Arabidopsis thaliana: one gene and its partners. The protein of the gene in region 1 interacts with the protein of each later gene in a biochemical or structural test. Each region holds a gene or a part of one and is shown on either strand. Other genes may lie near its edges.

The links.
Region 2: the proteins of AT5G11710 (region 1) and SGR4 form a complex in vitro, tested with the Arabidopsis thaliana proteins (one study listed by BioGRID).
Region 3: the proteins of AT5G11710 (region 1) and GAMMA-ADAPTIN 1 form a complex in vitro, tested with the Arabidopsis thaliana proteins (one study listed by BioGRID).

Annotation. Positions count from the first base shown.
Region 1 is NC_003076.8:3,770,388-3,777,162, reverse strand, and holds AT5G11710 (ENTH/VHS family protein), read right to left. Parts: upstream 4,763-6,775; 5' UTR 4,698-4,762; intron 4,594-4,697; exon of another isoform or gene 4,572-4,593; intron 4,546-4,571; exon of another isoform or gene 4,456-4,545; 5' UTR 4,183-4,455; coding exon 4,142-4,182; intron 4,051-4,141; coding exon 3,999-4,050; intron 3,612-3,998; coding exon 3,532-3,611; intron 3,444-3,531; coding exon 3,365-3,443; intron 3,277-3,364; coding exon 3,193-3,276; intron 3,106-3,192; coding exon 2,960-3,105; intron 2,874-2,959; coding exon 2,655-2,873; intron 2,440-2,654; coding exon 2,306-2,439; intron 2,174-2,305; coding exon 1,983-2,173; intron 1,788-1,982; coding exon 1,382-1,787; intron 1,098-1,381; coding exon 847-1,097; 3' UTR 501-846; downstream 1-500. Other genes in the region: AT5G11720 (Glycosyl hydrolases family 31 protein), read right to left, coding at 91-323; AT5G11700 (ephrin type-B receptor), read left to right, coding at 6,040-6,775. UniProt on the Arabidopsis thaliana protein: May have a role in transport via clathrin-coated vesicles from the trans-Golgi network to endosomes. Stimulates clathrin assembly. Does not seem to bind to phospholipids.
Region 2 is NC_003076.8:15,819,213-15,824,375, reverse strand, and holds SGR4 (Vesicle transport v-SNARE family protein), read right to left. Parts: upstream 3,084-5,163; 5' UTR 2,819-3,083; intron 2,369-2,818; 5' UTR 2,342-2,368; coding exon 2,248-2,341; intron 2,158-2,247; exon of another isoform or gene 1,939-2,157; intron 1,720-1,938; coding exon 1,661-1,719; intron 1,574-1,660; coding exon 1,385-1,573; intron 1,281-1,384; coding exon 1,110-1,280; intron 938-1,109; coding exon 785-937; 3' UTR 536-784; downstream 1-535. Other genes in the region: AT5G39520 (hypothetical protein (DUF1997)), read left to right, coding at 67-264, 361-456; GNL1 (GNOM-like 1), read right to left, coding at 4,466-5,163. UniProt on the Arabidopsis thaliana protein: Functions as a v-SNARE responsible for targeting AtELP-containing vesicles from the trans-Golgi network (TGN) to the prevacuolar compartment (PVC) and mediates liposome fusion. May be also involved in retrograde traffic to the cis-Golgi.
Region 3 is NC_003070.9:8,439,331-8,447,086, reverse strand, and holds the start of GAMMA-ADAPTIN 1 (gamma-adaptin 1), read right to left. Parts: upstream 6,009-7,756; 5' UTR 5,709-6,008; coding exon 5,677-5,708; intron 5,634-5,676; exon of another isoform or gene 5,320-5,633; coding exon 5,017-5,319; intron 4,842-5,016; coding exon 4,700-4,841; intron 4,602-4,699; coding exon 4,428-4,601; intron 4,164-4,427; coding exon 3,984-4,163; intron 3,460-3,983; coding exon 3,305-3,459; intron 3,071-3,304; coding exon 2,980-3,070; intron 2,877-2,979; coding exon 2,713-2,876; intron 2,580-2,712; coding exon 2,525-2,579; intron 2,373-2,524; coding exon 2,250-2,372; intron 2,165-2,249; coding exon 2,069-2,164; intron 1,943-2,068; coding exon 1,815-1,942; intron 1,569-1,814; coding exon 1,464-1,568; intron 1,364-1,463; coding exon 1,101-1,363; intron 941-1,100; coding exon 698-940; intron 609-697; coding exon 433-608; intron 312-432; coding exon 207-311; intron 31-206; coding exon 1-30. Other genes in the region: AT1G23890 (NHL domain-containing protein), read left to right, coding at 6,284-6,338, 6,423-6,593, 6,910-7,074, 7,206-7,406, 7,492-7,589, 7,675-7,756. UniProt on the Arabidopsis thaliana protein: Subunit of clathrin-associated adaptor protein complex 1 that plays a role in protein sorting at the trans-Golgi network and early endosomes (TGN/EE).

The DNA of each region.
Region 1 (6,775 bases):
CCTATATAATCGCACATTTTAAATTAGTTTGAAAAACTTGCTAAATTTAGTTTTTTTGGAGATTGGTTTGAGAGAGGAGATTATAATGACCTGACATGAAGATTAAGCGATTTAATATCTGGTGCGTAAACGGACGATGGTTTTATCAGATCAAGCTTCGCCGTCAAAACTTGCCGGTTAGAATCAACGCCCACTGATCTAACGACGTAGCCGTATCCAACGACTGTGGATTCTTCTTCTTCTAGTACAACTTGTGAACTTCTCAAGGAGAAGAAGACGACGACAACGATGAAGATATTGGGAAACCAGTGAAGAGATGACATTTTTTATTTTGGTGTTGGACTATTTTTTTTTGTCACAACTACTCATTTTCTTTGTAGATAAGACTATTCTATATTTTAATCATTCGTGACCGGAGAACTAAATTGTGTAAGATAAGATTAGTGTTAACATAATCACTAAGAATGAACTTGGTCAATATGAATGTGAATAAAACAACTGAGAAGAAAGTTGGAGTCTCTTTCGGATTAAGAATCACACGCGATAAAAAAAATATTTGTTGAGTGGGAAGAGATACATATACTTTTGTTCTATGAACAAATCGAAACTTTAAACCAATAATAAAAGTACTCTCTTATCAAAAAAAACATAAAGACAATTCTTCTCTCTCTCATTTAAACCCAAAGTAAACGCCACAACAACAATGGCACATCAGTCACCGACCAGATTGTCCCATGAATGAAGTGCAAGAACAACAAACCCATTAAAAAAACTTACATTTCCAGTATGGAATGTAGAATCAAACTTGATATGCCTTTTCATCTCAACACCAAATCACAGACAATTTCACTGCTTAAAGCCACCAGATTGGTACCTTTGGTTACTGAGGCTGGAGAAGAAATCGTCTGAGATATCAGGTGCTTGTTGTTGTTGTTGTTGTTGCTGCTGCTGCTGTGTACTGTATAGGCCAGTTTTACCAAGCCCGGATCCTGCACCCATGGACCAGCCTGAGTAGTACGATGCAGCAGATGCTTTGTTCCCATCTTCATTGCTCAGATCCCCCACAACACCCACATCAGCTAGAGAAGCTTTTTTGGCTGGTTACAGGGAAAATAATAATCAGGACTAAAATCGAACTTAGAAACTAAAACCCAACAATTTCTTTGTCGTGACACCATGCAAACAAGCTACATGGTACTGGAACTTTATGTGAGCTAAGAATTTTGATTTGTAGAATGTACTGTTTGAAAAATAGTTGGAATGTAATCGAACAACTATACCTTTTGGGTTTGACTGCATCTAATGAGAAAATAAAACATTTTTTTCTTATAGTGCAGATCAAATGAGAGAGTTCTCGATAGAAGAGGAAGTAACGACTTACGAGCAGTTATATTGAGATCAATCAGTCCACGGCTCAGCGAATCTGCCCAAATTCCTGATTTCACCTGGAAAGGATCTTTCTTTTGCAAATGTTGTGGCTTCGAGTCTGCGAAAGACAGCGGGCTTGTGGTGTTTGTTGCACTCCCATGTACACTTGGAGCTTGTGGACCTGTAGAAACTGAAGCCGAGTGGGAAGTGAAGGCACCAAAAGGATCTGATCCATCAAAATTATCCATAGGAACTGCAGCAAATGGGTCAACAATGTTGGGAGTAGCCATAGACTCAGGTATTGATATCTTGGCTTCTGGGCTTACAACTGATTCAGAAGATGCAAAGAGATCAACCGTCGGAGGAGCTGAAGAAACTGTGACAGAAGGTTCAGACGCAGAGAAAAGATCAACTTGTTTCTGTAGAAACAGAAATGCGGAAACACATCAGTCAACGATTCAACAGCACAAGTAATTGTGAGGTGTAAAGAACGACTTCAACAGACAAACGTTTTTGTCAATTAGCGAGAAATTGCATCACATAACTGGACAGTTAATAAGGGAATTTTCCATTGTTAAAAGCTGCATACTAGCTTAGATGAAAGAAGTCACCACCTGTGTCTGTGACCCAAATTCAGCTCCCTGAGCCGAGGCTGATACAAAAGCTGCATCAGCAAACAAGTCCGCCTCTTGAAAGTTCTCGTTGTTGTTGGTGGAAGATGTTTCTGTTGGCCCAGAATCCAAGAAGTCACCAATCAGATCTCCTCCAAAAAGGTCCACTTGGTTGGCACTGCCTGTGGATGGCTCTGCCAAAAATAAAAACCATACAGGTAAGACATGCACATATGTCTATCATAAATACATGTTTATCAAACCAACTTTCTCCCGAATGAATGATAAACAATCTGCAAACTCAGCAGTCGTAGAGAGAAACATACTATTACTGGAAGTTCCCCGTGGATCAAAATCATCAAAATCATCATCGTTGTTTGAAGGAGCTGCAGATACATATGACCTATGTTTGGCAGAATCGGGTGACTTTTTACCACTGGATAGATTGTCATGGTCCGTGCTGCACATTCAGAATTGGAATCGAGTGAGCAAGATTGCACGATTAATTTACTCGACATCAGAAAAATGGTACACAAAATGAGACTAATGAGTCATAAACCAAACCAGAAATAAGAAAAGAAAAGCAAACAAGCAGCCTCTTTTGGAAAAGAAAACTCCCATAGTCTACCCAAAATATGTAACGAACATCAGAAAATGAATGGGGTTGACATAAACCTGCCATAGCGTGAAAAACTCTTCTTAGAAGTGTAGCTTTGCTCCTCAGTTTTAACACCACGTCTTGACTTTTGAAAAGACTCGTAGTCATTCTTGTCTTCTCTGGAATCTCTATCCTTGTAGCTGTCAAAATTGCTTGAACCACTTTGAAAACTACCACCAAATGAAGCTGAGGAACCAGATTTATATGTTATTCCCGTTGATGAGAGGCCAACATACCTAATTGGAGGCAGAAAAAAACGATTTAAGGCAAAGTAGAAAGAAGAACGGTCAGACCAATTATTTCCACTTGTGTAAAAACTAACTTGTTACGATTTGCTACTGCTTTGTCTCTGATTTCTGAGATTTTCTCTTTATTATTTAAAAGAGCGACTATGTTTTCCGCCTTCTTTCTCACGTTGATTCCCACATCTTTCCCATTTGGTTCAACATACTCAAAACTTGTGAGTGACTACATGGATGACAAAGATCTAGTCAGTAAAAAAAACACAATCTTAGAGAGAACTGCATATCAATATGTAAAGAGAAATAAACTGACAGATATTTGGTAAGTATGCTCAATAATCTCATCAACCGCTCGTTCTGATCCATTCGAAATCAGATAATCAATAACAGCCAATGCCTGGCAGGAAATGAAATAGAAAAACCTCAGGACACAACAAAACTATAAACTTCCAAATACAGTAGGAAAACGTCAAGAAGATACTCACCTTGTAGACATATCGCCAATCTTTTCCTGTCTCACTTAGTCTAGTCCACAAAACACTCATAACCATCTGGCACTCCGAGCTAAACATATGGCAAGTGCACATGTTAAGCAATAGCAAATCAAAAAAATATTTCCAAGTAGAATCACGAAAATGAAGCCAGAGATTACAATTTCTTCGTGGCCTGAGCTATCTCTGCCAATGCAGTACCATGGGGACCCCAAGGCTCATTATCTGTAGCATCCAATACCTGTACTAAACATAGCCATATATAATTATGAAAGGGTATCACATAATACTGAATTTGAAGAGATGATCAAACTCAAAATCCATGAAACATTGCCGCCAATTTAAGTTTACATGACGGCTCAAGCTTATCTTCTATAGAAATATGAACTCGATATTTGTGAGTCCCAAAGATGGATCTAATCTCTAGGAAATAGCAACTGTGAAGAAACTCAGCATCCGAACACAGAAACATAACAAATCCAGCTCAAATATTCAGGATTAGTGTCGATTTTCGATCTAGCAATTTTTATTTTCGTGCAATAGCTAAATCTATAGAAAGTTTTCGATCATTTTGCCTAGTAATCATGGATACAATTTGCACATATGGATACGAATCAAATAAATTCACCTTTTGCTCCATCTCAGGGACCTTCAAAACTTTCAGATTCACCTCCCTTTTTCTGTAATTGAAAACGAATCGAGATCAATCGAAAAAATATATAAAACCAAAGATCTACGGATTTGGATCGATAGAGAAAACGGAAAACCCACATCTCTCGAACAGTTTGATCGAAGACCTTCATGAAATCCATTTGGAATCCGCGAAAATGTTATGAACAAAGGAACGAAAACTGGCAAAATTTTGGTGCGAGGAGAAGTGTAGATCTAATCAGAGATGGCTCGTCTTTGTATTATGAGTTTTTTTTTTTTCAATGAAAGGCAACAACAAATAAAAAGTTAGCAGCTAGAACCGATTTTCTCGCGTAATTAGTTTTTAAAGGCGTCAAATGACTGTAAATTCGACCTGACCGTAGCCTGATCCGCAGTCTCCGATAGTCACGGCTATTGGTGGGTTGTTCAATAACCTACATGTATACAACAAAAAAAAATTGAATCCATTTCGTTTCAGTAAATAACACAACGAGTTTTAAGACCTAAGGTAAATTCTTCGAAATATTATCCAAATATAATTTATCCGAACCACTTCACGAAATAATTTAGTTGAATACTTTAAAGCACTTCAACGAAATGGCTCCGAATGGATTATATATATAATTTTTCCAGTAATGAATGTTGTTAGTGAAGATCATATTACTCTCTTCTATACCTTACTTTGTAAACGTTTTAAGTTTAATGCAATAAAATCCTTTTCTGGGGGAAAAAATATAATCCAGTTGAATATTGTTGGTCAGATAAGATTAAGTTTATAACATTATATACCCATTTTTCTATATTAAATATATCTACTACAATTGTCTTATTGAAGAAGTCAGCATGATGAGTCATATACGAGTCAAATTGCATTTGTTTTTAACTCTGGTACCAACCAATAAACCACGTAATATCAGATTATACATCACGTATCCCACTAGTTTAAATTAGTTTTTGCTGACCATGCACAATCTCTTACTTTGAACATAGAGTGTCCCCAATACATGTAGTCTAATCACTAAAATCTAATTTTGGATTTCATATGCTTTGAAGCTATAAAGTTGTTTAGAAATTAGCATACACAACAGTACCTTATCATTTTGGGTGAACCATACATTGACATTAGAAAAAAAATACCATTTTGCATTTAGAACGTGAAAATCGAAGTGATTGAAAGATTGGTGTGATGGATTAAAATGTTGGTGTTGATAATGCTGCTAGTTTTCTATTGGGCCAGCCAGATTTGTTTAATTTTTGTTTTTACTTCGTCCAGGTCACACGCATTCTGTTTCTCAATATCAAACAAAAAACACTCACGCTCAAATCTTGGCGCGTCCATATCAAACTCCTTCACAAACAGGGCCCATCAAAGCCCAATTCTTAACACCTTTCAATGTCCGAACGTAACTCCTGACGTTTTAAAAATTTTAAAAACCAAGTCATTAACCCCTTAATATCCAACAGCAAAGCGAGTAATTAAACGTAGTTAGACACGTGTCCTAATTTAATTCGATGTCAAAATAAATTAGGATACCGCTGCCACATCCAGTTCCATGTGAACCACGATGCACAGTAGTATTTCCTTTTAGAGCAATCTAAAGAATGACGTGGCGTAGTATGATTTGTTAAGATTTACCTGATTACGGTGAACTTGCACGTACCAGATCGTAACTACTCTCCGTTCCAACCTGTGTTTTCTTTTCTTCTTGGAAGCTCCCTTCCCTCTCTTTCTCTCTCCTCCGAGAAAGGAAAAGCACCACTTCTCTCTCTAAGACCCCATTTTTCGGTGAAGGTTTATGCGCTTTTCTTCTTCAACGAGACGACTAAAATACGTATACATGCGTATGTTGATGTATGCATAAGTGTTGTTGTGTGTTGGAGATTTAGAAGAGAAGGTTTGTTTGTGAATTTGTGTCTCTGAGGTTGGTTTTTCCAGTTTATTCTTCTCAATGATCCGAATTGGGGTTGAATCGAAAACCTTAGTAGACTTCGTCTGTGATGACTCTTGATACTAGTGGATGGCTCGATTTCAATTTTGCTGCGTCTTCGTCTTGGTCGCTCTTGCGGTTTTGGCCGTAAACCCTAGTTCAAGCTATCGATTTACCATTGTGGAACCGAAATCGGGTTCTGATTCCGATTTGGACTCAGATTCAGAGTCGTTACTTTTCCATCAGGACTACTCTCCGCCTGCTCCGCCACCGCCACCACCGCATGGACCGTCGGTATCTTGTAGCGAGGATCTCGGCGGCGTTGGGTTTTTGGATACTACTTGTAAGATTGTCGCCGATTTGAACCTTACGCACGATGTGTATATAGCTGGGAAGGGGAATTTTATCATCCTGCCTGGTGTTAGGTTTCACTGCCCGATCCCTGGTTGTTCTATAGCTATCAATGTTTCTGGAAACTTCTCTTTGGGAGCGGAATCTACAATTGTCGCTGGGACATTGGAGCTTACAGCTGGTAATGCTAGCTTTGCTAATGGGTCGGCGGTGAACACGACGGGGTTAGCTGGGAGCCCTCCGCCACAGACCAGTGGGACACCGCAGGGGATTGATGGTGCTGGTGGTGGACATGGTGGTAGAGGCGCTTGTTGTTTGACTGACACTAAGAAGCTACCTGAAGATGTGTGGGGAGGTGATGCATACTCTTGGTCGACTCTGCAGAAGCCGTGGAGCTATGGTAGTAAAGGAGGGTCAACTAGTAGAGAGATTGATTATGGAGGAGGAGGAGGTGGGAAAGTGAAGATGGATATTC
Region 2 (5,163 bases), about 12 Mb from region 1:
CCACATGAATCACAAATTCACTAGTCAGAATTTTTATTGATTTAACATTTGAATTACGATTTTCAGACGAAATGGGAGCTTCAAGGGCTTGACCGAGTAATGGAACCAACTGATTTCACTCTTGGAGTAAAAGGAGCATTATACCCAGACCGGCGTGGAAGGCACACGAGGCTCAAAGGTCGACTAGAAACGACCATTAGCTTCGTGCTTCCTTCAGTTCTCGCGCTTGTACCAGAAGATGTTAGGAGAAACATGGCCAATGCGGTAAGAAACTGTCTTGTTTCATATATGCGATTGGAGACTCAAAATGCTGTGTTCCGGGTTTATACATGATTTATGTTTTTGATTGGCCCTTTACAGATTTTGGCCGGTTTGGTGGATAACATGAAGCATAGGGTTATTGAGAGCTTGGTCGCTGATTATAGCAAATTCAAATATGAAAGAAAAAAACACTAGTAATTGATATCAATGTTTGATCATGTATAGTTCTAGATCCAATATATGAACAATTGTGCGAGATGTAGACCTCGATTGTTTGAAATAATTGAGGCTTTTAATCTCAATGTTTAACCATGTATAGTTCTGGATTTGATATGAACAATATAAACAATATACGTGACACTTAGGCCGAAGCTTTACTTGCTTAAAGTATGTATGGTCAAATTTAGAATACAAAGGTGGCAAAACAACTTTTCACACAAAAAGAAGAAACAGGATAAATCAAAGACTCACAAAACGAAAACAACCGTTGTTCTTTGATTTGGTCGGATTTAGTTACAGAGGCTTACTTGGTGAGTTTGAAGTACAAGATGATGAAAATGGCGGCAATCAATGCGATGATGATGGCTCCAATGGTCCATTTGTTCTTGTTCATCCTCCTCGTCATGTCTGTCAAGATCTTCTTGCTCTTTCCAATGTTATCGTCTACTCCATGAAGCTGTCAACAGAGTTCTAAATTTTGGTTAGCGCGATATCAATCCAGCGTTGATAAAGAAAACAAGAAAACATAGTCTTCTTTATGATATAGCCCTTAATTCTCATCTTATTTTGTCACTTTGTTCAGAATATCGTTGAGAATATGGAGTAAATGTGTTGCAGAGAGACAATACCGTTTCGTGGGCACGTAAGAGAGACTGTCTCTGACCGTGCAAGTCTTGGAGGATTGAAACACCGATTTCTTCAGTCTCCATCATTGTTCTACGACTGTCCTTGACTCTGTCAGTGGTTCGGCCCAGACGCTCAGTTGACATCATCAATCTTGCTCTCTGATCAGCTGAAGCCTGATCTCAGCGTTTCAATAAAAAAAGAAAATCATAGGTCGTTTTAATAGCAAAGATATGAGATGAGATAAAATTGAAACAATACTACCGAGTCCTTTACATACCGTCTTTGTGTCAGCCATACCAGCTTCTAGCAACTCATCACGAGCAGCAGCGTTCAACTGTCCAGATGTGATTCTCTTCACTTCAGTTTTGAAATTGTTCAGATCAGACTTGAATTCTCTTAATTTGACAAGGAGGCTGGACTTAAGATTAGGTGGAAGGGTCCTTGCCTCGAGATCCATTTTCCTAATCTGGTGAAGAAAAGGACAGAGAAGCATCAAAATGAATAATGGACAATAGAGAAGCTTCTATAACTTCACGTTACGCATATCACATACCAATACTTCTGCATTTTCCAGCCCGGATTTTATTTCAGACAACTTCTGCTTCTTTTGTTCTGCAAATTAATAAGGTATCATCAATGCATTTTTATCTATGCAATCAACAGAGCATACTCATCTAGGGGAAAAAAAACAATCCCGATGATCAGCGAACACTACTAATCACAATCTCCAAAGAAAGCAAAAGAAAGGCACACTACTATGTCCTAGCAACACATGAAGGAGACAAGAAGTTTATAGTCATCAAACACAAACCAAACTATCTATAGAATCGTTCTCAGTAACAAACAAAAACCGAAGTATCCCCAGTGTAAAAAAATGGCGATGATCAGCGACCAATACTAATCACAAGCTCTCTTCGTAATCAGAAACCAATACTATGTCCTTACAACGAAGTAGTAATTAAAGGATCTAAATCGCACAATACTCTGCATCAAAAACACAAACCAAGATATCTCTAATTCGTACATTGTTACATTCATAAGCTAAACCAGAATTAGTTATTTCAAATCTTAAGGAAGGTAAGGCAATGCCTGAGTAGGAAAAGTATCACATCTTAGAAAAGATTAGAGTAACAATTTTACCTCCATCAAGCGAAATAGCAGAGGAACACTTCTTTGAAAGACTCGCCGAGAGCTCACAGTATTGTCGCTCATATCCATCAAACACGTCACTCATTGTTCCAAAGGAAGACTACTAAAAACTCTGCAGAATCAGCAACACACACAATGATGATGAACCCTAATTCTGATTAAGAACAGATTACATTAAGCTGAAACTTTAAGAACAGATTCAATAGCCCAAAACCATCAACAAGACTAGGCTATTGAAATTCTTACAACGATTCAAAAGATAAAACTAAAATCAATTGATTGTTTTGTATAGCAGTCCAAAACCCTAAGATAACTAGATCACGTACAGAAGAAAGAAATGTCAACACGGGGAAAAAGGAGAAAAAAAAAAGACAGAAAAGTAAAATTGACGGATCAAAAGAGAAAAAGGATGACGAATAAGTGACGAAAATTCCGGTGATCGGAACAAATGGAAGAGTTTAGCCGGAGTATAAGCACAAAAAATTAGGATCAAAATTAGAAAGCAGAATCACAATCAGAAAAAGAGGAATTAGGCGAAAAATAGAGAAAGCCAGATTGAGACCTGAGAAGGTAACGGGGAAGAGGAGGTACGTCGGAGTCGGAAAATCGATCGGTGATGACAATTGTGGAAGACGACGATGAATTGATTTGATGATGCGTACGTCTATGAATGATCTATGGAAAATATGTTCGACGGTTGAGTAATTATATCCTACATCTAGGCTTTGTACACCACTTGGCCTTTTTTTTGTCCAGATCTTTTGGCAATGCCACTGCCTTGTTGGGCTTGCGGATCTGCCATTTTTGGTGTTGCGAAAAGACTCTTCTAGGGCCCAAACTTTTATAGGTCACTGAAAGTTAGTTTTTTTCTTTTTCTGTTCTTAATTGAGGCGTGGGCATTCGGGTACCCGTTCGGGTTCGTTTTTTTTTCCGGGTATTGGGTCTATTCGGGTAGGAGGTTGAGAACCATTCGAGTATTCTAAAAATTCGGTTCGGTTTCGGTTCGGGTTTGGGTCGGTTCGGTTATTTTAGTAAAAATGTAAAAATAACCAAAAATACCCAAAATATTTTTGGGTTCGGGTTAGATTCGGTTTTTTTATTCATATATACCCAAATCAACCCGAAATACCCAATTACCCGTAAATATATTGGTTACTTTTTATACAAATATAACCAAATGTAACCAAAATACTTAAATTATCTAAAAGAAAACTATAACATTTGTTACTTTTACCCAAATATATCCAAATATATATGAATTACTAAAAAAATCTAGTATAATCGGATTTATAATTTTAATTTTGGTATTTGAGGTATTACAAATATATATATATAACTAATATATTTAAGTTACATTCGTATTCGGGTACCCACGGGTATTAGATTCGGTTCGGGTTCGGTTCGGGTTTTTTCGGGTAGTAAGGTCGAGGACCCATTCGGGTAATTCTAAAAATCGGATTCGGGTTCGGTTTGGTTATTTTTCGGGTTTTTCGGTTCGGATATTCGGTTCCGGGTATTATGCCCAGGCCTACTAGTTAATTTTTTGGGTTTTTTAAAAACTTTAAATGTTATTAAAATATTGAGATTTGGTTTTGATGATTATCATTTTTCTTTGTCGTTACTCGTTTTCATTGAATTTTTCAAGTTCTTTTCGTTTATAAATTTATAACATTCAAAATTATAACAAATATTTATAATATTTAAAACTTCATAAAGTTTATAAATTATAAATATTTAAAACGTTTTATAAAGTTTAAATTTTTAAGAGTTTGAAAATTTGTAATATTTAACTGTTAATAAAGTCACACAAGCCAAGAATTAGAGTCCAAAATTTTATAGGTCATTTTGTTTTTGTTCTTAATTCTTTGTTTTTAAAAAATGTTATTAAAATAGTGAGATTTGGACCAAAAATTTACTTTTCTTTTCTGGTTTTGATGAGTACCATTTTTCTTTGTCAGTACCATTGAATTTTTCAAGTTCTTTGTATAATAGACGCAGCAGTTTCCAAATTGCCTCCAAATATATTTCCAATCAAACCCATAATTTCAACATAACATTCCATAAAAAAAACAAAAGCTCAAGACTCCAAAGTATTATAATCCCCCTATATTAAAAACAAAAAAGCTATACTGCAAAAAAAAAATTGATATCCTTGATTAAGCTTTTTCATCTGTATAGAACAAATTTTCTCTATTCCACCAAAACCGTCTCAGACCTCATTTCCCGGTACCGGAGGATCCTCAGGCTTCGCGTTTCGTCTCTGAAACTGATCAAGCTCCTCTTGAGGGAAAACTTCAGATTGAAGAGAAGGAGAGATCTTATTAACGTGAAGCCACGTTAGTTGCCAGAAACTGTCACTTCCGATATCATCACCTGGTAATAAAACTCCCGTCGCCTTCATTACCAGTAATGTGTTCTTGAGCAGTTCCGGGATGAGTTCATTGACTTTCTCGCTGCGTTTTCCTCTGAATTCAGTTGACATGTACGTTTCCAAACGGTTTAAGACACCAACCCAAAGTCTGCAGAATGATGGTTGCTGTGAGATGTCTTGAAGAGATTGCAGAAAAGCTTTTGACATGAGCTTTGTGGCGAGAACAAGCGTTTCTTCCACTGTTTTCTTGAGAGTCTTCCTTGAATTCTCGATCGAAAAAGTGAGCACATCGTCTAGCAATATGAAGACTGCGGAATCAAAGCATTGGAACCATAGAGGTTGTGGTAACATGATCCCGTCTGCACCGGCTATAGCTCGTTGCAGCATTGAGATTGCATGGTTTCTCACTTCGTCGCGTTGATCAAGACATACTTTTTTGAGGTTCTTCACAAGTTTGAGCCACATTTTTCCAATATCTTCACTTAGTTTCATCATAGCATCAGTTTCACCAATCGAGTTTTTCGCCTCTTGAGACC
Region 3 (7,756 bases), on another chromosome or scaffold:
CCCAATCCTCATGCGCATCACAAGAGATTTCTGCAATAAACATTAAACCCTTAGTGTTATGTTAAGTCACTGAATCCACAGGCTCAGCCTATCTTTATTTGAGCATAGATTATGTTGTGGATCATCAAGTGCTATTCATCAATGCTGAGCACGGAATGTTGAAGACATAAAGTTAGATAGAAAGACGAACAGAGAATGTGCCATACCTTCCCCTGCTGGCTGTTAGTGACTCTTAGATTCTGCGTGATGGCACCACTACCGCTTGCCAGGAGTGTGTTACTGCTAGCTGGATCCAAGTGCAGCTGGAGGAACTGGAAGTTACACAAAAGAAAGAGAAGGTTAAAGAAAAAATTGAAATCTATTTACTGCTTTATCAATTGGGAAAGATGAATAAAGGGGAAAAAAGCAAAAAAAGAAGATAGATGTAATTACCTTTGGAACAGCAGCCTGGAATATAAAATCTGTGAAAGTATTGGGAGATAAATTAGTAAAAGTAGCCTGGACATTTGTCGTTTGCAGATTCCCTGGTGTCTTTGAGAAGGTGAACTCAATCTTCAAGGAGCTGCTCTCGTATGCAACAATAGGTGCATAAGCTGGACCATTGGTGGCTGCAATAAGGAGGAAAACTTGTTATTGACCTTTGTAAAAGAGTTTCAATGATTATACAGATCTTTTTCAGGTTAAGACTTTTTCCTACCTTCCTTCGATGGGCTTGGAGAAAGACCATCTAGCAAATCAAACATACCGGTGGACGAAGTTGTTGCTACGTGAGGTGGAGCTGGTGAAGAAAGTGTGTCTAGCGCAATTGAGGGATTATTGTTAACGTCAGCTATTGATAATAAACCAATAGATGATGTGCTGTTTTGTGCAGGAGAAGGTGTTCCAATTGATAGAATATCCAGCAACAGATCTGTGCCAGCTTTTGGAGCCTGGGTTGCACCTGAATCATTGGATAAAAAATGGAAGACCAAACATGAGTTATCCTTTTGCAAGGCAATGAGGAAAATGATTTTTTTAAAAACTTGTTCATTCAGAGACACATAGCAGATGAGCACGCCATAATATGAACGCAAGAGCTGTAGAACCGCCAAAGAACTAACCATATTGTGCTGACGATGAACCTAAGTCTACACCGAGAAGATCCTGAAGGAAATCTGTACCAGATGGACTAGGTGCAGCCATGATATCGTCAGAATCTAGGTCTAGCAAGTCCACAAGAGGAGCGACAGGAAGTTTCTCAACACCATTTTGAAGGCTAACTGAAGGCTTGGCCATGGTTGAAACTGATGCAGGAAAAGAGCCGGCCCTCCTCACATTGAAAGTAGCCTCATCCAGTACCGGCATTCTGTCAACCAGAGAAGACCTGTATGCACACATACCTCTATCATGAGCTTTGAGGGAGAGAGAATATGAAAAACTTACACTAGAAGATAGATGAGGAAGAGAGGCACAAGGGATTCCACCTGATATTTTTATGCCTGTCAACTATAGAATTGTATTCAATAGCTCTCTGCTGCATTTCAAGGAGAAGGCTTCCTTTCTGCTTCACAATTATGTCTTTAATTCTCCTGTCATTGAATTTTAGAAAACTTTTTAATTATCAATAGAGAGTTGAGGACAGGATGTACATGTATAATATATTTCTAATCTTTTTTCAGAAGGCAACGCGCTACAGTTTCTTGTAGACAGACCAAAATTTATTATTCATATACTAGTGCGCATATGCATCTTGTGTAGAGTTGAAAAGGGATAAGTGCAGATATCAGATGAACGAGTTGAGATAAAAACAGATAGCACAACGAGGTCAGACATACTCTGAAATAGAAGGAAAGCGGGATGACAACTTCAGTAGAGCAACCAATGCCATTGCTTTTGTAGTCGAATCTGAGTTATGGCGAGTAATGGCATCCTCGATAACGTCCACTGCATCAGATTCCGTTACCTGCTCAAGGCAGTCACATACTCGTTGCATATTTTTCAAAGCAAAAATGAAATCCCAAGAAGCAAAAGCATCTGCATATTTATCATGGAGCAAATAATGAATTAAGATTGCCATTGTGATGCTCACCGTTATTGGATCTTCAATACCAAGCATCCCCACATTGTTAACCAACAGATCACCATATTCCCCAATGCACCATACCGCCACTCGGACAAGGGTCTCCTGGTTATCATCTCAACGAAACCATATTAGAAAGGGTTACAACTGATTGAGGACTGAGCACAATCTAACATTAGAAAATAGCTACCTGTTCCGAATAAGTCAAGACTGATTTGTACAAGGCCCTAACTGTATATCCATGAAGCTCTGATGCATTGCTTATGACAACAATAAGTGCATGCCACACATCATCTTTCACAAACTTTCCAGCCTACTAACATGGAATAGATGACAATAGGTTATGACAGATACAAACAATGCATTTGAAATTAGCTTAAGCAGATATAAACTCTCAAACGATTTCAAAGAGTGCAATTAACTGGTAACACGTTACAGAGCATATTCTCGCGTTTGAATCCATACCTCACACAGAACCTTGAGCATCTGATCAATGTACCATAGTTTTTCTGGAGAAAACCTACATTATCAAAAAATTTAAAAAGTCAACAAAAACTTCAATCAACTAGACATTCACAGTAACTTTCCAATCATCCTGACCCCCAACTTTCTCAGAGTAAGTAGTCATTCTATTTCTTAAATAGAATACTTACTTTTCAACGATAAAACAAATTTTTGCACTAAGATCTTCCTTAAAATCTTCGTCGCTGATTTCCAAATAATCAATTAGCTCCTTTGTCAGTTGTGTGACATTGTTTTCATTCACCAAAAGAGTGACAAGCTCAAGAGCTCTTTTCCGGATAGAAGCATCTGGGTCCTATATTGTTATGGAAGCAGAAACCAAATTAGCATTTTTTATTTCTCTAAGATATACTTAGCAGTTAACATTGTATAAAATATTTTCCTGGTAATACTAATACCTTCACACATTCCAAAATTGTAACTCTGTGCCTTTGCACTGCTTGATCATCGAAAGTGATAGCTTTCATCAGCATGTTTAATGCAACATATCTGAGAGAACGAAAGTATGAATTTCATAAGGGAATGCAGCGTTTTTGAGAGAAACGAAATCAAGATTAGAAAAGGCAACGCTGGTTGGTCAGAAGAGCATTGTGTGCTTCATAGAGTTAAGCACATCCAAAGAAAGATGATAGACAGAAGAAAAATACAAGTAAGCTAGTTCCATTACAAACATATATAATACCATACTATTATCAAATAAAATTGAGGTGTAGGGGGTTGAACCTGATGTTATTGTCGCGGTTAGATAAGAATCTTCCCAAGATATTGATAGCAAGCACACGCAAGCTATTGGTGTCTTCAATGGCCATGATTGTTTCAACACACTCATAGAGTACCGCATTCCCTGCGTTTTTGTTTGATTCAGTTTTTGTTGCCACCTACAATAGCATGAAACCAACGAGAATAAATATCAAAGAACCAGGATAACAAAGTATCCGACAGTAGATCCCTGACTTTGAACTCAAAAGATTTCCAAAACAAAGCATGTAACAGACGCAGGATGCATTCATCATGGTGAGATAGAAAAGGATTGGCGCAGCCTACAGATTTATATGTCCGTCCACAAATCAACACTTACTATGACAACAAAGACCGGTATCAAAAGAGGGAGAATTCAAGTACGGCAAAAACTCAGTAACCAATAAGTCTTCTATCTACCAAAGAGAATAATAGCCCATGAACCCTATCAACGAAATGAAATTCTTTCTCCATTATGCTATATTTAACAGAATCAGTTCCAGCACATGAGAGAGCATAGCTATCTTACAACATTTTTCCGAAAAAATATATGTAAGGTAACTGGAACAAAAACCATAAACCGTTGATGTTTAACAAAGGAATTACATCGCAAATGTGAAGATGGTCAACCATATCCAGAATCACTTGCTAAACTATGACTAACCTGTGCAAGTATATCTGTCATCAAATCACTAGCATCAGCATCACCCTGGCCTAAAACACGCAAGAGCCTGAGCAACCGTATGTGGAGAAAAGGGTCTGTGATCCCTGCAACATCATACTCAGGCTGATATGCGCTATTAGTAATATCCCTCAAAGTTTTTATCAGTCCCTCTGTGCATTTCTGCAGAGACAAAACAAAGACAAGGGTTTGTCAAAACTGACGGTCTGATAAAACAATATAACAACCTGATTGTCTGCCTCATTTCAGCAGAGTAATCTATTTATAAGTGAATACCACAGATATCAAACTTTATTGCAAGAGAAAAATAGTACACAAAAGCATCATACAGGTAATATAGTATCATATGTACGCATATTCAATTAAATTACGTCGATGCTCCTGTATGCATAAGTAGAGTGTTCTGTATAATATTTATAGACTTACCGTTCTGAAGTACTCTAGGGCTTCATCATTAATCGTGCATAATTCATAACAAAGTTGAACTCCTGTTATAAGAACCCCATGATGCTTTTCTTTAAGCAAGGAAGCAGCAGCATTTACGAAGTTTTCTGCTAGATCTGGAACTTTCCTTATTATTCTAGTAGAGCAAAGCGCCGCCTGCATATAATACAACATAAATGGTAAAGGCAATGAAGGAAAAAAAAAAAGCGACTAAACTCCAGGAGACCCTGTATATGAATTAGAAAACACTTCACCTTCTTTCGGATATTAGGGTCACGAAACTGGATTAATCTTTCTACTTCTGGCGCAAGATCACGGGCCATTTCTGCTGAACAAATATTCCCTAAAGCACAGAGAGCAAGTCCTACAACATACTGGTTCGAGTGATTAAGATCTCTGCACGTGACTTAAGGTTAAACAGGAACAAATCTATTTAAATATTTTTCTCCTTAATTCCCATAACAGCAATGCAATCAAAAATCAAGTGTTCTCTAGTATTTTTTAACATAGAAGAAGAATCCATTCAAAGGCCAAGGTATCAAGATTTAATACTAGAAATTAGTAAGGATACTGTTTTAACGAATTTGTGACAAGCATCAACACTTCTTGTCTCTCATCAAGAAGCAACATTAGCCCTAGATATCCAATCCTCTTCTCTGGAAATCCAGGAGATGCAATTAGCTTCAAGCACTCCATCTGCCCAAAGTGTGTGGGATAACCCAGCATGTGTATAAACATGAGTTTCGCAAGGTTCCGGTGCCGATCATGCGGGTCATCTTCATTAATCAATGCTCGAATATCGGCACACTCCTTTCTTACAACAGCTCGCTCCTCCGCAGCTGTTTTGCATGCTCTTATGGCACGGATCATGTCCCTGAATCATACTCATATGTCCACTATAACTTCAGAACCATATACAATAATCCGATCTGATTCCACTATTAAACCCCAACAGCAACATGACCAATCCAATATTCAATTAAATTAAGCAAAAGGATTACCAAAAATCCTTAGTGTGATCATGTTCTTAGACTAAAATCAAAATTCTAAATGGAATCAGAAACACCAATACCAAATTCATCTTCGAAACAGGCCAATCAACAAAATTCAATCCTCAAATGAAAACGAGCTCAATTACATCATGTTATATTCAAATTTCATTTGTAAGCTGATCAACGACTAAGAAACCTGAAACAGAAACGATAAAAAGGAAAGAAGAGAATCAATTTACCTTAAACGAGTACCAGAAGAAAAGGGATTCATGATTTGGGGTGTTCAAGAGTTGGACCTTGGTCCACCGGCAACTTTACGAGGAATCTGAAGAAAATGAAAACTTAGCCGGGAAGAAGAGTTTCGCCGCCGGGATTGTGAAAATCCGTTACCGGAGTTTCGAGTAGCTGATCAATACGAGAGAGAGAGATGAAAATGAAACTGAGGATTTGGATCTCGATGGACGATGCTCGTTTTTTTCTTCTCAGTCTTCGTAAACCATAATTGCCAAATTAAATGCGTTGTATAAACATGACTTCCATTTCCACCTAAACGGTAACGTTTCGACCAGCAATCCTCTCAAAACAAAAACATAGACTGGGCCGTTTCTTTATAGTTAAACACATAAATGGGCCCTACTTGGGCCGTTTTTATTAGTCAAATTTGAGAGGGTCGATGATACGCGCTCTTTCATTGGTTGTTACACAAATTCTCCCCTACACTTGAACACATCATAGTATCGCTCAGGCCCTAGTATCTTTTTAAAACCTTTAAAGATGCTAAGCAGCAAAAATAAGTAACACAACACAAGTTACACAGAACAGTCGCTTTCTCCTCTCGATTTTGACATGGCTTGGGGATTTTCGTCCGTGTCTCTCTTCTTGTTCGTCGTTTTCAATCTGGGTATATTTTCAAAAATCTGTTAATTCAGTTGAATTTCCCAACCCAAAATTCGAATTTTTAATTTTCCTCATGATTTTGTTACAGTGAGTGGTAAGATAGTTTTAGAAGAAGGGTACGAAGTCACAACGGTGGTCGATGGCCATAAGTCTGGTCTGAATCCATACACGATTCATGCTTTACCAGGATCTTCTAATCTGATCGTCCTTGATTCTTCCGGCAGTACATTTTACACTACTTCCTTTCCTTTGTCCGTTGGTAAACACCCACAAAACCACTCTTTTGTCTCATCTATTAATCGGATCATTATAATTGTGTTTGTATATGAGTTGTAAATTCATGGATGCATAAGTAAATGTTTAGAGCTTGTTGATTTTGATTGCAAGTCTTGACCTTCATTTTTTCTTTCTCCGTAATCTCAAATTGGACCACAATACTAATATGTGTGTGTATGTGTGTGAAACGATCAACCTGCAAATAAAAGTTCTAAACTTTACTATAAGTGAAAATTTTGTTTATCTTTCTTTCAATTGAAGTTTGAGCTCACTTTGAGTATGTGTGTGTGGTTGTGCAGATAGTGTGATAAACCGGTTTGCTGGGGATGGGAGTTCGGGTCATGTAGATGGTAAAGCTGGTAACAGCCGGTTCAGCAAACCCCGTGGTTTTGCTGTGGATGCTAAAGGGAATGTTTATGTTGCTGATAAGAGTAATAAAGCTATACGGAAGATCAGCTCTTCAGGTGTTTGTTTAATCCATTTCTTGTATTCCTTTTGTATAAATGCTAGTTGTTGTTGTTGTCTAATCTTAGTTTGTTGAAAGAGCCACTTAGTTTATTTTGATTATGCATGTTTTATTTACTGGACTTTGTAGGTTCTGTAACCACCATTGCTGGAGGGATCTCAAAGGCATTTGGACACAGAGATGGACCTGCACAGAATGCTACTTTCTCTAGCGATTTCGAGATAACTTTTGTTCCTCAAAGATGTTGTTTGCTTGTTTCTGATCATGGAAATGAAATGATTCGCCAGATAAATCTTAAGGAGGAGGATTGCCTCGAAAACTCTCATTCTAGTATGTCTTTTCTATAAGTAATCTTTTGTGGATTTGACTAACCATGCCTTTGGAAACTTCAACGATTCTTCTTTCACTGTTTCAGATTTGGGGACATACTCTCTTTGGTCAATAGGGATTGTCCTTTCCTGCATTCTCGGGGTAGCCATTGGATTTGCTGTTCGCCCTTACGTCATCCGTCATGTAAGTTTTTTTTAATCTATCCTCATATTACATACTAGTGTATAATCAACATATCAAATCTCTTAAACCAAATCGTTATAGACAGGAAGAAGTGAACCACCTCTCGTTCATCATGACATGGAAGCTTCTCCTAACCAAATTGGGGGAACAAGTTCTGACCTTCTTCT